Linked DNA regions of Mus musculus. The protein of the gene in region 3 interacts with the protein of the main gene of each other region in a pairwise test. Links are inferred from orthologs where the notes say so. Each region holds a gene or a part of one and is shown on either strand. Other genes may lie near its edges. The genes, in order: Srsf1, Ldoc1 and Nxf1.

Region 1 (4,386 bases), on a different chromosome or scaffold from region 3:
TTAAAACAAAAAGGGGGGAAGGGAGCAAATAATTGTTACAAAATGGGCAATTCTACCACAATTGCCAAGGTTTTAAAAAGCAAAGCAATTGTAGCTGAAGATAACTGCATTAAGTGTTTGCAAATCTTTTAAGGTAGATAAATTTTTAACCCTCGCCTTCTAGTATAAGGTCAATACTGCCAATTTCATCTGTGACAATAGCACTTGGAGTCATACCATTGCCTCCATTATTGATCTGATCCTCCTCAATCCTCCTTTTGACAATCCTAAAATGATTGAAATGTGCTCCACAATCCTTAATCCAAAGCATTCTTAATCCATCTCTTCAGATATGTCTACAGAAAGACACATGAAAAGCAAGATAAACATAAGAACTTCCCCCAAGTAAGATAACCACAAACACCCCCAACATCCCATTTCACACAAACCAGAGCAGAATAGACATTTACATAATATCACAGTCTGAAGAGCATGGAAATTAACTAAATTTAAACAATCCTGTCTATGACATCACTTAAAATACAAGTTACCAAAGACATGAGGGGAATGTAGATGTTAGGAGCAAGGGGATATTACACAAGAATGCAATTCAACACTTTAGCCCATTCTGAACAAAACAGCTTGAATTAAAAAAATGAAAAGATTGTACTGAGTAAAGGAAAACTGTATACAACATGGGTTCTACAAAAAGTGTCACCAATCATCTTATGTACGAGAGCGAGATCTGCTATGACGGGGAGAATAGCGTGGTGATCCTCTGCTTCTCCTTGGGGAGTAACTGCGACTCCTGCTGTTGCTTCTGCTACGGCTTCTGCTACGACTACGGCTTCGAGATCGAGATCTTCCATAACTTGGACTTCTGGGCCCATCAACTTTAACCCGGATGTAGGCAGTTTCTCCCTATTGGATAGACAGAACTTTCCATTGAAAGATCTAAGCTTTCACCTGTCTTCAGACAAGCTGAACGAATACAAAGACAGATCAGGGCTCTGGTAATTTACGTGAACACCCTTGCCTGTATCCTTACCTTCAAATTCCACTGTTAAGAAAACTGTATCCAATTCTGGCCAAAAAAAAGAATAAGTGTATAACCTACCTCGTGAGATCTAAACTTAGTGTTATCCAGTTTTCGAACTGCATACGTCATATCTTCTTTCCGTACAAACTCCACGACACCAGTGCCATCTCGGTAAACATCAGCGTAACATACATCACCTGCCTCACGCATGTGATCCTTTAAGTCCTGCCAGCTTCCACTCGGAGGCAGTCCTGAAAAAGCGATTCCCCCTAATTTAATACTACTCATCCTGTCCCACGGCAAACGTGTAAAGTACATTCGAACAAGGATTATTTTAAAATACTTAATGATTGTACTTAAGTGTTTCCAGGTAAAGAGCTGGTAAGAGTCAGATCCAGAGTCCAAATTTATTTGTAAAGGATCTTCATAGGCTAGTACTGCAACCTAATTTGGGTAAATCACCACCACAGTAATCTTTATTTACTAAATTCATCCCAAAGACCGAAGTAGTCCAAGACCCCGTGTGTAAAACAAAACAAAAACAACAATAACAAAAACCTTGCAGTACTCAAAGCAGTCATGCGGGAAAAAGATTTTAACCCGCACGAAGTCAACTCACCAGAGACAACCACTCTGTTCTCGGACCGCCTGGACGGCGGGCCATAGCGGCCTCTCGGGGCGCCGCCGCCTCCACCCCCGCCGCCGCCTCGGCCGGTCCCGCGGCCGCTTCGGGGAAACTCTACCCGCAGCCGGTAGCCGTCGTAGTCGTAGCCGTCGCGACCGTACACCGCATCTTCCGCGTCTCTGCGTGTGATCACAGAAAGCGAAAGGGGGGGGTGATGAGGGGAGGGAGCCGCCGGACCCAGCTCGTTCGCCCGCTCCGGGGGTGAAAAGCCGCGGCCACAGCGCACATGCGCACCCACGGGGCCACACGGAGCCCCACATGCGCCGCATAATAGGGCCGGCCCTTCCCCCACCCAGCACCACGCCGGGCAGAGGCTCCCGACCACCTCGCCGGCCCTCAGCGCCTCGGTTTCCCGCTCCGGGGGCTGCGCATGGGCTCGGGGGGTAGGGGGGACGTCCGAGGCGGCCGGCCACCGGAGACAACGCGCCGCCTCTCGGCTCTCCTGACTCGACTCCTGCAGGGGCGATAGCGCCTCGGAGCCCCTCCTCTCCCCCCATTATGTTCCAAGGCCTCCGAGCCTTCCCCAACTCCTCCACGCTATCTCCTCAAGGCCGCGCACGCCCCACGCTGCCTCACCGCGGGTCCTCGAACTCAACGAAGGCGAAGGGCGGTCCCCCGCGGCGGTTCTTCAGGTCGATGTCGCGGATGGCGCCGTATTTGTAAAACACGTCCTCGATGTCCTTGGTTCGGATATCCGGAGGTAGGTTACCCACGTAGATGCGGCAGTCGTTGTTCCCCGCCGGGCCACGGATCACACCACCTCCCGACATGGCGGCGGCGGCGACGACGAAAAGCGCGGACTCGGGGGGGGGGAAGGAAAAAAAAAAAAAGAGGCCTTCCTACCAAGCCTAGCGTACGGCAGAGCGAGCCCTCAGCGGCACCACGTCTCCCGCGGCCGCTCCAAAATGGCGCCTTTATCAGCTCGGCGCACTGATACCGGGGGGGAGGGGGAGGAAGAGAAGCCGGAGGAAGCGGCTCGTCCCTCCCAGTGCGCAGGCGCACGCCTCTAACGGGTGCTGAGAAGCACGCTCGCGCACGCGCGACGTCACCCTCCGCACGGAGGGGAAAAAGTCCCTCGCGTCCTGGCGGGTTGACTGGCTGCTGGAACGTCCAGGCGTTTAGTAAAAATCACATGCTCTGGTTAAAGCGGTTATTATTAATCCCCACTGAGTCCAGAATCGTCGGCCACCTCGGGGGTAGACCCTCTCTGAAAGCAGCTCGGCGCTCTAAAAAGATTGGGTGAAACCTATCTTGCAAGCGTGTCCCACCATGCTCCGCGGTGGTAACGGCCTTTGGCGGGAAAGGCGCCGCGGGGCGGAGATAGATGACGCTGAGCTGTTGCTCCGGAAACCTGGGCATCTTCTGCACTTCGGTGCCGCCGGCGGGAGTTGCAGGTGATTTCATTTAAAAGCCGAAGCGGAGCAGTGTGGCTTCTGCCTCTGGGAACCTGCGGTGGGCTGCATCTTAGTTAAAGTGTCTAGACGGATCCTCCATATCTATCTAAATGAAAACTGTGCCTTGAGTTTTCCTCTTCCTCCTTTCTAAGGATGAAAAAGGAAGAGTGATAAAACAGTTTAACTGCAGAGCCGAGATCCCGGTTCTGTGCTGGTCTAGGGAGATTATTTATTTATTTGTTTATTTTGCCAAGATTATCTGCAAAAGGATTCTTGCATTGGATACCACAATTTTGCTTCTTTGTTTTGTAATAACGGGAATAGAAGAGCCTTACGTGTGAAATCATACGGCCTTGTAGTGTTGTTAATGAACTCGAATTATAATAAAAGCAAACCAATCTGGACTTAAGCTTGTGTGCCTGAAATCCTATCACTCCGGAAGCTGAGGCAAGGAGGGTCCAGCCTACCCTGTTATACACAGTTCTAGTAAAGGTTATCCCGGAGCCAGGCAGTGGTGGCGCATGCCTTTAATCCCAGCGCTCGGGAGGCAGAGGCAGGCGGATTTCAGAGTTCGAGGCCAGCCTGGTCTACTGAGTGAGTTCCAGGACAGCCAGGGCTATACAGAGAAGCCCTGTCTCGAAAAACCAAAGGGGAGGCGGGGGGAAAGGTTAGCCCGGGACATTCAGGGAAACCCTTTCTATTAAAAATATTGAAAAACAAAACGTTTTCTTGGTGTTGTTTTTGTTTTGGGGTTGTTTTGTTTGAGACACGATTTCTCTGTGTACCCCTGGCTGTCCTGGAGTTCCTGCCTTCTGAGTGCTGGGATCAAAGTCACTACCTCCCAGCTAAAACCAGAGCCTTTCATGATTGGATAGAGACAGCCAGGCGTAGTGGTAAATGCCTCTTGAAGTTTTTGGGAAGCGGAATTTCAGGGTTCAAGGCCAGCCAGAGCTGTGTCGACCCTATCACTAATAAATATGCTAAGTCGGATCCCCACAGGTTCTAAGGGTGATTCTTTATACTGTAATTTTTAGTTTTTAATTTTTATGTTATGCATATTGTGTCTTGGGGTGGTGGGTCATGCCATGGCCCATGTGTGAAAGTCAGAAAATAAGGTGCAGTTCACCACTCATGCCATGTGAGCCCCCGAGATGAAACGTCAGGCTTGGGAGGAGCACCTTAACCAGATGAGTCACTGAGTCATTGCTGCCCCTGGATGTTATCATTTATTTACAACAGTCCAAGGATGTGGGGCTGCTTAAAATGAAACCATTAAATATTAAGACTGG
Region 2 (3,450 bases), on a different chromosome or scaffold from region 3:
AGCAGGGTAGCAGATAGGACCAGAATTGATTGAATTTGGAGATATATTTTTAAAAGCAGACCCATTGTGTATCAGCTTGATGACCCAGAACGAAACTTAGTTATCAACAACTAATCACATTCAAACTAGGCAGACAGGCTTATTTAACAGTGCACATGGTAGTTTAACTACACAGGAACAAAGGTACTCATAAACAGGACATGATAAGAATCAAAGATAGGATGTTTACAAGTGGACACCCTGTATACATTTTATAAATCTTTTTTTGGGGGGAGGACATTCTTTTTTCTTTTTTATTAAATTTATTTATTTTTTTCACTTTACATCTCAATATCAACCCGCTCCTCTCCTCCCAGTGTCCCCTCTCCTAGGTCTTTCCTCCATTCCACCTTCTCTTCTCTTTTGAGAATAAAAATCCTCACAAAATAACATCCTCCTCCACACACACACACCCAACAAGTCAAACCCTCTCCAAATGAGGACAGACAAGCCAAACCATTTAGAGTAACTGGGTCCTCAAGCAGGCAGGCAGCAGACACAGGGACAGCCCTTGCTCCAGTTGTTGGGGAACCTCCAAGAAGACCAAGCTGCACATCTGCTACATGTGTGCAGGAAGGCCTAGGTCCAGCCTGTGCTTTCTCTTTGGTTGGTGTTTGCAAATCTTGTTAACAAAATTGCTTGTCAAAGAGAAGTCTTTTGTTGCATACTATTTATTTATTTAATGAAAGTGAGTCTACCTGTGAGTCTTTTAGACTTGGAACCCAAATGACCTCCTGCACGGTGGCCCACAGAGTCAGCGTTATTTCTCCGAGTGAGATTTAAATGAGCAAGGAAATGTGTTAACCAACCAGACACTCCTCACCCCCAGAGCTTCCAGGGACTAAACCACCGACCAAAGAGTATACATGGAGGGACCCATGGCTCCAGACGCATATGTAGCAGAGGATGGCCTTGTCAGGCATCAAAAGGAGGAGAGACCCTTGGTCCTGTGAAGGCTGGAGACCGCAGTGTAGGGAAATTCGAGGGAGGGGAGATGGGAGTGGGTGGGTGGGTGGAGGAACACCCTCATAGAAGCAGGGGGAGAGGAGGATGGGATAGGGAGTTTTGAGGGGAGGGAGGCGGGAACGGGGATACCATTTGAAATGTAAATAAAGAAATATCCAATAAAAAGTAAAAAAAGAAAAAAAAATGTGTTAAGAAAGGATCACTTTAAAGAAGCTGATGGCCACAGACCCACAAAGGAACACTGAATTAGATGAACAGGCTGCCTGCAGAAAAGTTTCAGCTGGAGCAGGCCAGCCCTGAGGGCTGAGCATCTGTTCTCCACTGTGGCAAGCTTTGCTCCCTCAGCCTTCCTACTTCCAGGTGGAAGAACTGGCGGGACCCCGCAGCGAAGCTCCTGGGTCACGCCCTGCTCCTCCTCAGCCACATCCACTCTGGCCACCAGTCCCACCCTGACCACGCCCCCACGCCATCCCGCACCCTTCCCAGCCACACCTTCCTTACCGCACTGCGCTAGCGCACAGGTTTGTAAAGTGACCCTGTGGGTGGAGTTTCTGCCGCTGGCTGGGACCCCTCCATTTATTGCCCAGGGTCCGCACTCCTCTGAGGACCCGCACTTCCTGCTCAGCCTCTCTGTGCAGCTCCGTGGAGCCGATCCGAGACTGAGACCGAGACCGAGACCGAGACCGTCCAAGCAGTTAACCATGGTGGAAGAGCTGCTGTCGCTTCTGCACGCGCTTCTGGATAGGCACCAAGCCCTGTGCATGGAGAACCACCAGCTCCTGAAGCAGCTGCGACTGTTGGTGTGTGAGCGGGCCAGGCTGCTGCGCCAGGTATGTCCACCGAGCTGTCCGGTGCCCTACCCCTCACGGTTTAGCGGCGAGAGTGGTCGGCTCCCTGAGTTTATCATGCAGACCATGTCTTACATGCTTGCGAATGAGGAGCACTTCTGCAATGATGCCATGAAAGTGGCATTCTTGATCAGCCTCCTCTCCGGGGAAGCTGAGGAGTGGGTGATGCCTTACATCGAGTCAAATAGCTACGTCCTCGGTGATTATCAGGCCTTTGTTGATGAGATGAAGCAGTATTTTGGCTGGGGTACCGACGACGAAGATGATGGTGATGATGATGAAGAGGAAGAAATGGAGGAAGATCACTAGGCCGGAGCCCCCTTAGGCCTAGAGGTGGGGGCCTTCACGCCTTTTCATTCCAACCCCCCACCCGCCATTCCTGCTGCCTCAATCTCTCCCTTTGCATGGCCATCCTCTTCCCCGCCAGTCTGTTTGCTCCATCATTCCCTTCAGGACTTGTCTTTGTTCCAGTTACCTGCTGTGAGTTGGGCCTGGACCTTGCTCTGAAACTCACTTTGGCCTCAGGCACTTATCCTAATCTGAACTCTGTTCGGAGTTCCAGCGATTTTCCAGGTCCCTATTAGAACTGGTCAGACCACCTGCATTCCTGCTGCTGACATCCACTGGAACTCAGGCCAGTCCGCCATCTGCCCAGAAGCAGATTCCTGACATTTCACCTCCACTCACCGAATTTCATCTGAAGCACTTTTCAAGATAAGGACCAAGAAGATGATGGAGTTGCTACTCCACCCATTCAGACTCTGTTTTGGACTACTCACCAAACCTTGAAGGGGCCAGCCAGTCTTTACCGACTGGTTAGTTCTGTACGTACTACCAGGTTCCACATCTGCCTGACCAGAACAGGAACCTGATGTGCCTGCCGGACAGTTAAAATGTTGACATGTCTTTTCTCCTATGCATCAGTTTTGCACAGCACGTTTCCTTTCAGAACTGCAGCAGCCTCACAGATGTGTCCATGTGGACAAGGACTACTAAAATAAAAGCAAACGGACAGGCATTCAGCCCAGATCCTCTCTAGTACTTGAAAAAAGCAATGTAATTCTTTGCAATAAATATCAAGCACTGCAAAACTAGCAGCAAACTGTTGTCTTTTCATGGTTAAGTGCTACCATTGGCTATTGTGACTCACCTCCATTATTTCATTGTGGTTGGGGAACTTGGTTCAATCCCAGTATTCTCACTTTCATTTTTGGGCTCCAGGGGGCCCTGTCATAGGGTTTTAAAAGCTGTGGTGAAGGAGCATTGTCTGGGGCTTCCAAGGTGACATATAAAGGGTGGCTGGGTAGGGGGGCTATCATCTTAAATTAGGTCACTTTGGAGAAATAAAGGGACATTATTAACATTTAGACTGACAGTAGAGGCATATTACTGGGCACAGTGAAGTTTCCTAACATGGCAGAGAAGTTTTATCCATTGTCCTTCTTTCCTGTGGGTGGCAATTAGCAAGATGCTTATGTCTCCTGAGCTAGAACCTGGACTGGAGTTTGTGAGTTGACATCTCTCAGACAGTCCAGAGGGTAGGTACTGAGAATTATCTGCCCAGCTTTGTTTGTGTGTCAGTCCATTATGTTACCCT
Region 3 (4,325 bases):
AAACAAATATGTAAAAATAAAAAAGAGTAATGAAAGGTGAATACAATTACAACTGTGTACATGTATAAAATTACCCCCCCCCAAAAAAAACCTTAGAATTTAAAGAAAAAAGAAAACCAAAACCACCCAGAAACCAGATCCTACAAAGAAAACTAAAATGTGGAAGTATGGGCAACCCCAAAATATAACCAGATTCCTGAAAACCACCTAAAATCTGCCACTTGCATATTCTTTTGCTTATGTGTACAGTTGATGGTCACAGAACCAGATGTTATGGCCACCACCTGCAATCCTGGCAATTGGGAAATGGAGGCTTCAATTACACAAGAAATCAAAGCTATGCTGGGCTACATGAGATTCTATCCCAAAAAATAAAAAAATTCTTACAAATAGGACGTATTTAAAGTCTCCTAAAAACAACTACCGCCGGGCAGTGGTGGCGCACTCCTTTAATCCCAGCACTCGGGAGGCAGAGGCAGGCGGATTTCTGAGTTCGAGGCCAGCCTGGTCTACAGAGTGAGTTCCAGGACAGCCAGAGCTACACAGAGAAACTCTGTCTCGAAAAACAAAACAAAACAAAACAAAACCCAAAAAACAACTACCATCTCCTGCACTCGGAACTTGGGAAATGCTAGTTTCTTTGAGCAAAAATAGCCTGCACCTCGAGGGACTTATTGATTCAGGGACTGGTGCAGGTTCCACAGTAAGGAGGTAGGGAATGTTCTCCAATATAACCATTGTTTGAAGCAGGAGGATTCCGAGTTCCAGATAAGCTAAAACCCTGCCTTAAAAAGGGGAAGAAGCCAAACACAGTGGCCCATATCTTTATTCCCAGACAGTGGCAGGCAGAGAACTGTTGAGTTTTGAATGCCAGCATGGTCTACTCATTGAGTTCTAGAACAGAGAGAACTACTCATTGACACACTGTTTCAATAAATAAATTAATAAACAAACAAGCCAACCAAGTGTGGTAGTACACTGTTTAAGAAGAGGATTGGAACTACAGAGTTCAAGGCCAGACCAGGATTGAGACCTGTCTCTCTTAGTGGGTGGTCTGCATATATGTAGACAAAACAAATAAAAGGAGGGCTGAGGATATAGCCCAGTTGACAATGTGCTTGCCTATCCTATCCTTCACACACACACACACACCACCCAGGCTGAGGCAGAATTTGAAACTTCAAGTCAGTCTGGACAACTTGGTGAACCATCTCAAAAAAATAACAGCCGGGCCTGGTGGCGCATGCCTTTAATCCCAGCACTTGGGAGGCAGAGGCAGGCGGATTTCCGAGTTCAAGGCCAGCCTGGTCTACAAAGTGAGTTCCAGGACAGCCAGGGCTACACAGAGAAACCCTGTCTCGAAAAAACAAGGGATTTTCATCCTTCCTTGTCTATAGCTCTGTGGGAGAACAGAAGGCCTGGCACACAGGGAATGACCTGGAACCTCTGATCCTCTTACCTTAAACAGTGCACTACTACACTTGGTTCTATTTATTTTCCTTTTTGCCAGACCTTGAGTTTAACTCTAGGAGCCCAACCCCCCCAAAAAAAAGTAAAAGTCTATGCAATACCGAACTTGGGAAGCTGACACAGGGAGACTGACTGAGGCCAGCCTGGGATACTAGGGCTGACCCTGTAAGGGAGAATTAGCCTTCCCTAGGGATGAATTCCCTAAATGGTTATCCAATCCCAAATGGTAAGCTTTAGAAACAAATATATACACATTAACACTAAATGGGCTCTGCATGTTGGATGAATTTGGGGAGAGAGTTGACAATGGGAATGGCTAGAGAAAGGAGACCAAGTAATTATATTTGAATTAAAATAAAGGTTCATTGGGTAGCTATTTTTCAGGCCTGGATAAATCATCAGTATTACACAAATACAAAAAAGGTATAACTTTCAAAGAAATCCACCTAATATCTAGCATCCTCTAAACAACGATCCTCTCCAAGCAACCCTAGTAAAAAGGAATACATTAAGAGACAGTGAAACTACGGTTCACGGAAGAAAATTCCCACTCCAGTTACTGTGTTCTAGGCACTTGGTAGAAATTATTTCATACGCACACAAACGCACACGCACATGCACACAAACTTGGGAGACAGGTACCCACATGAAAGAGGCGGAAAACAAGGCCTGAAAGTTTAACTCACTCGGGTTTAGTACAGCCAACTCCAGATTCAAACCTCAGCTGTCATAGTGTCCTAACCACCACAATGAATTAACATGTCAGGATAGGTGTTCCGACTAGAAATTTGATAAACAATAAGCAGCAAGCTACAAGAACAGACTGATCGTATCACAAAAAGAAAAAGAAAAATAGGGCACCAGGGTAGCCCACGACCAAGCGACTACTGACTCACATTTAAAGGAAGAGTCGGGCCGCCAAACTGAACTGACAGGCATCAACCACCCTCAAAGTTGAAAGGAATCTTGTCACCCCACCCCTGAGCCACAGGTTCTCCAACGCCTGAATCCGGGCGACTCTGGAGCCCCTGGGTCCCGCGGCGCCCCGCGCCCCCTGCCCGCGCGGCCACCGCTACCTACGGACGTAGGGCTCCTCGCGGCCTCCCGCCCCCGGGCTGAGGCCTAGGCCAGGGCCGCCCACCCCAACCCACCGCGTCGCCTCCCGGCCCGAGGCCCCGCACTGACCGTTGTATGACTTCCCTTCGTCCGCCATGGCACAGGCAGGTACAGGGGCGGGCTCAGGCGCAGAACCTGACGCCACCAAACGCCAAGGAGCCTTAGCGCTCAGGACAGAATCTCTCCTACGACCGGCGCCACCGCATTTATCCGGCGAAGCACGTCGCGCGCCGCCGACGTCCCCAGGATGTGGGCGGTGCCGCGGGACGTGAACGCGCTCTCTGAGCCTGCGCAGAAGCAGGGCGGCCGCTCGGGGGCGTGGCCAGGCCCTCCGAGGCCCGCCCACGGCCGGAGCTCCGGCCGGATGGCCTATCGGCCGGCCCCGCCTTCCTATTTCTTCGCTGGCCCGGTCCCGGAGCTAAACCCTCTGCGTTAGCACTGAACTCAAGAGGAGCAGGGTCGAGGGCTACACACAAGAATGGAGACCTGGCCTCTGAACGGGAGTAACGGCCCACAGTCCCCGCCGGTGGGATCCCGGCAGCGAGTAAGTCGCAGCTCAGTTCCTTGCCAGCCGCTGGCCTATGCCCTCTTAGCTTTTCTCATCTCCACGACGAATTATGACGAAATAGAAAATTGGAATGTAAGCCCCACTGGAGCAGGAACCTTAACTAATGCGAACTTTTCTTCCTCCAGCACAGTATCATGCCCAGTGTGAAACCCAAGTGTGAATTAAACGAAATCCTGTCCTTCGTAGGTTTTTAAATTGACTAATGAAAAAAGGTCTTTTAAATTGACTAATGAAAAAAAAAGTCAAGTCGGGTGTAGTGGAGCAGGTCTTTAAACCCAGCATTTGGAAGGCAGAGGCAGGCAGATCTTTGAGTTTGAGGCCAGTCTTGGCTCTATAGAAATTTCTAGAACAGCCAGAGCTATGTAGAGACCCTTCCTCCAAAAAAAATAAAATAATAAAATAAAATAAAAAAGCTTTAGTCTTACTATCAATACTTTGTCCAGTTCAGAGATAGGGAACACTACATAGACCATCTCAAAACAAAATCAGGGATCTAGTGAGCCTTAAGCCTTGATCTTCACTTCACTCAGTCTGTCATACTGAAGCCTAATTGGTAGACCCAGGTCAGCTAGGTAGGTAGCTAGGGAAAGTTGCTAGTTTTGGGTTTTGTTTCTTGAAACAGGGTTTCTGTGAAACTTGCTTTGTAGACCAAGTTGGCCACAAACTCAAGAAATTCACCTGCTTCCAACTCCCAAGTGTTGACTGAAACTTTAATGTCAAACCCAAGAGCTCTAGGAAACTTTTCTGGTGTGGCTAGGACTATTGCAGCCTTGGATCCAGATGCTGCTGTGGGAGGGGGAAGCAGATGGGGTGCTGGTAGGCATGGAGCATGACTTGATTTGAAGATACAAAACAGGCTCAAACTTATGGGTACTGTCTTGGAAGTTGCCGCCCAATTATGAACCCACTTAGTCCAAAGGAAAACTCTTATGAAGTGCTGCTGTACTTGGCTACTCGCTTCTAGGGGGGAGTTGTGTGTACAGAGCTCCGGAGCTACCCTGCCTATCAGTAGGGGCCCATCAGAGTCACTGACTTAACCCTTTTGGTTCTGGTATTGGGCAGTGGTTAGCTTTTTGCTGAAGTCCCCCCCCCCCCCCCAGAAATGACATCAACACTAGTGAGGCTGACAGTCTTGCTGTAATTGGGAGGAAATAGGCTGCAGCATGTTTGG

The links.
Region 1: the proteins of Nxf1 (region 3) and Srsf1 interact in binary tests that used the Homo sapiens proteins (3 or more experiments, as listed by UniProt). The link is inferred for Mus musculus from reciprocal best matches to the Homo sapiens genes NXF1 and SRSF1.
Region 2: the proteins of Nxf1 (region 3) and Ldoc1 interact in binary tests that used the Homo sapiens proteins (3 or more experiments, as listed by UniProt). The two-hybrid records come from large-scale screens. The link is inferred for Mus musculus from reciprocal best matches to the Homo sapiens genes NXF1 and LDOC1.

Annotation. Positions count from the first base shown.
Region 1 is NC_000077.6:88,045,926-88,050,311, reverse strand, and holds the start of Srsf1 (serine/arginine-rich splicing factor 1), read right to left. Parts: upstream 2,940-4,386; 5' UTR 2,474-2,939; coding exon 2,280-2,473; intron 1,823-2,279; coding exon 1,638-1,822; intron 1,270-1,637; coding exon 1,097-1,269; coding exon of another isoform or gene 1,043-1,096; exon of another isoform or gene 901-1,042; coding exon 706-900; 3' UTR 1-705. UniProt on the Homo sapiens protein: Plays a role in preventing exon skipping, ensuring the accuracy of splicing and regulating alternative splicing.
Region 2 is NC_000086.7:61,708,004-61,711,453, forward strand, and holds Ldoc1 (protein LDOC1), read left to right. Parts: upstream 1-1,607; 5' UTR 1,608-1,706; coding exon 1,707-2,162; 3' UTR 2,163-2,947; downstream 2,948-3,450. UniProt on the Homo sapiens protein: May have an important role in the development and/or progression of some cancers.
Region 3 is NC_000085.6:8,755,590-8,759,914, reverse strand, and holds the start of Nxf1 (nuclear RNA export factor 1), read right to left. Parts: upstream 2,813-4,325; 5' UTR 2,684-2,812; coding exon 2,656-2,683; intron 1-2,655.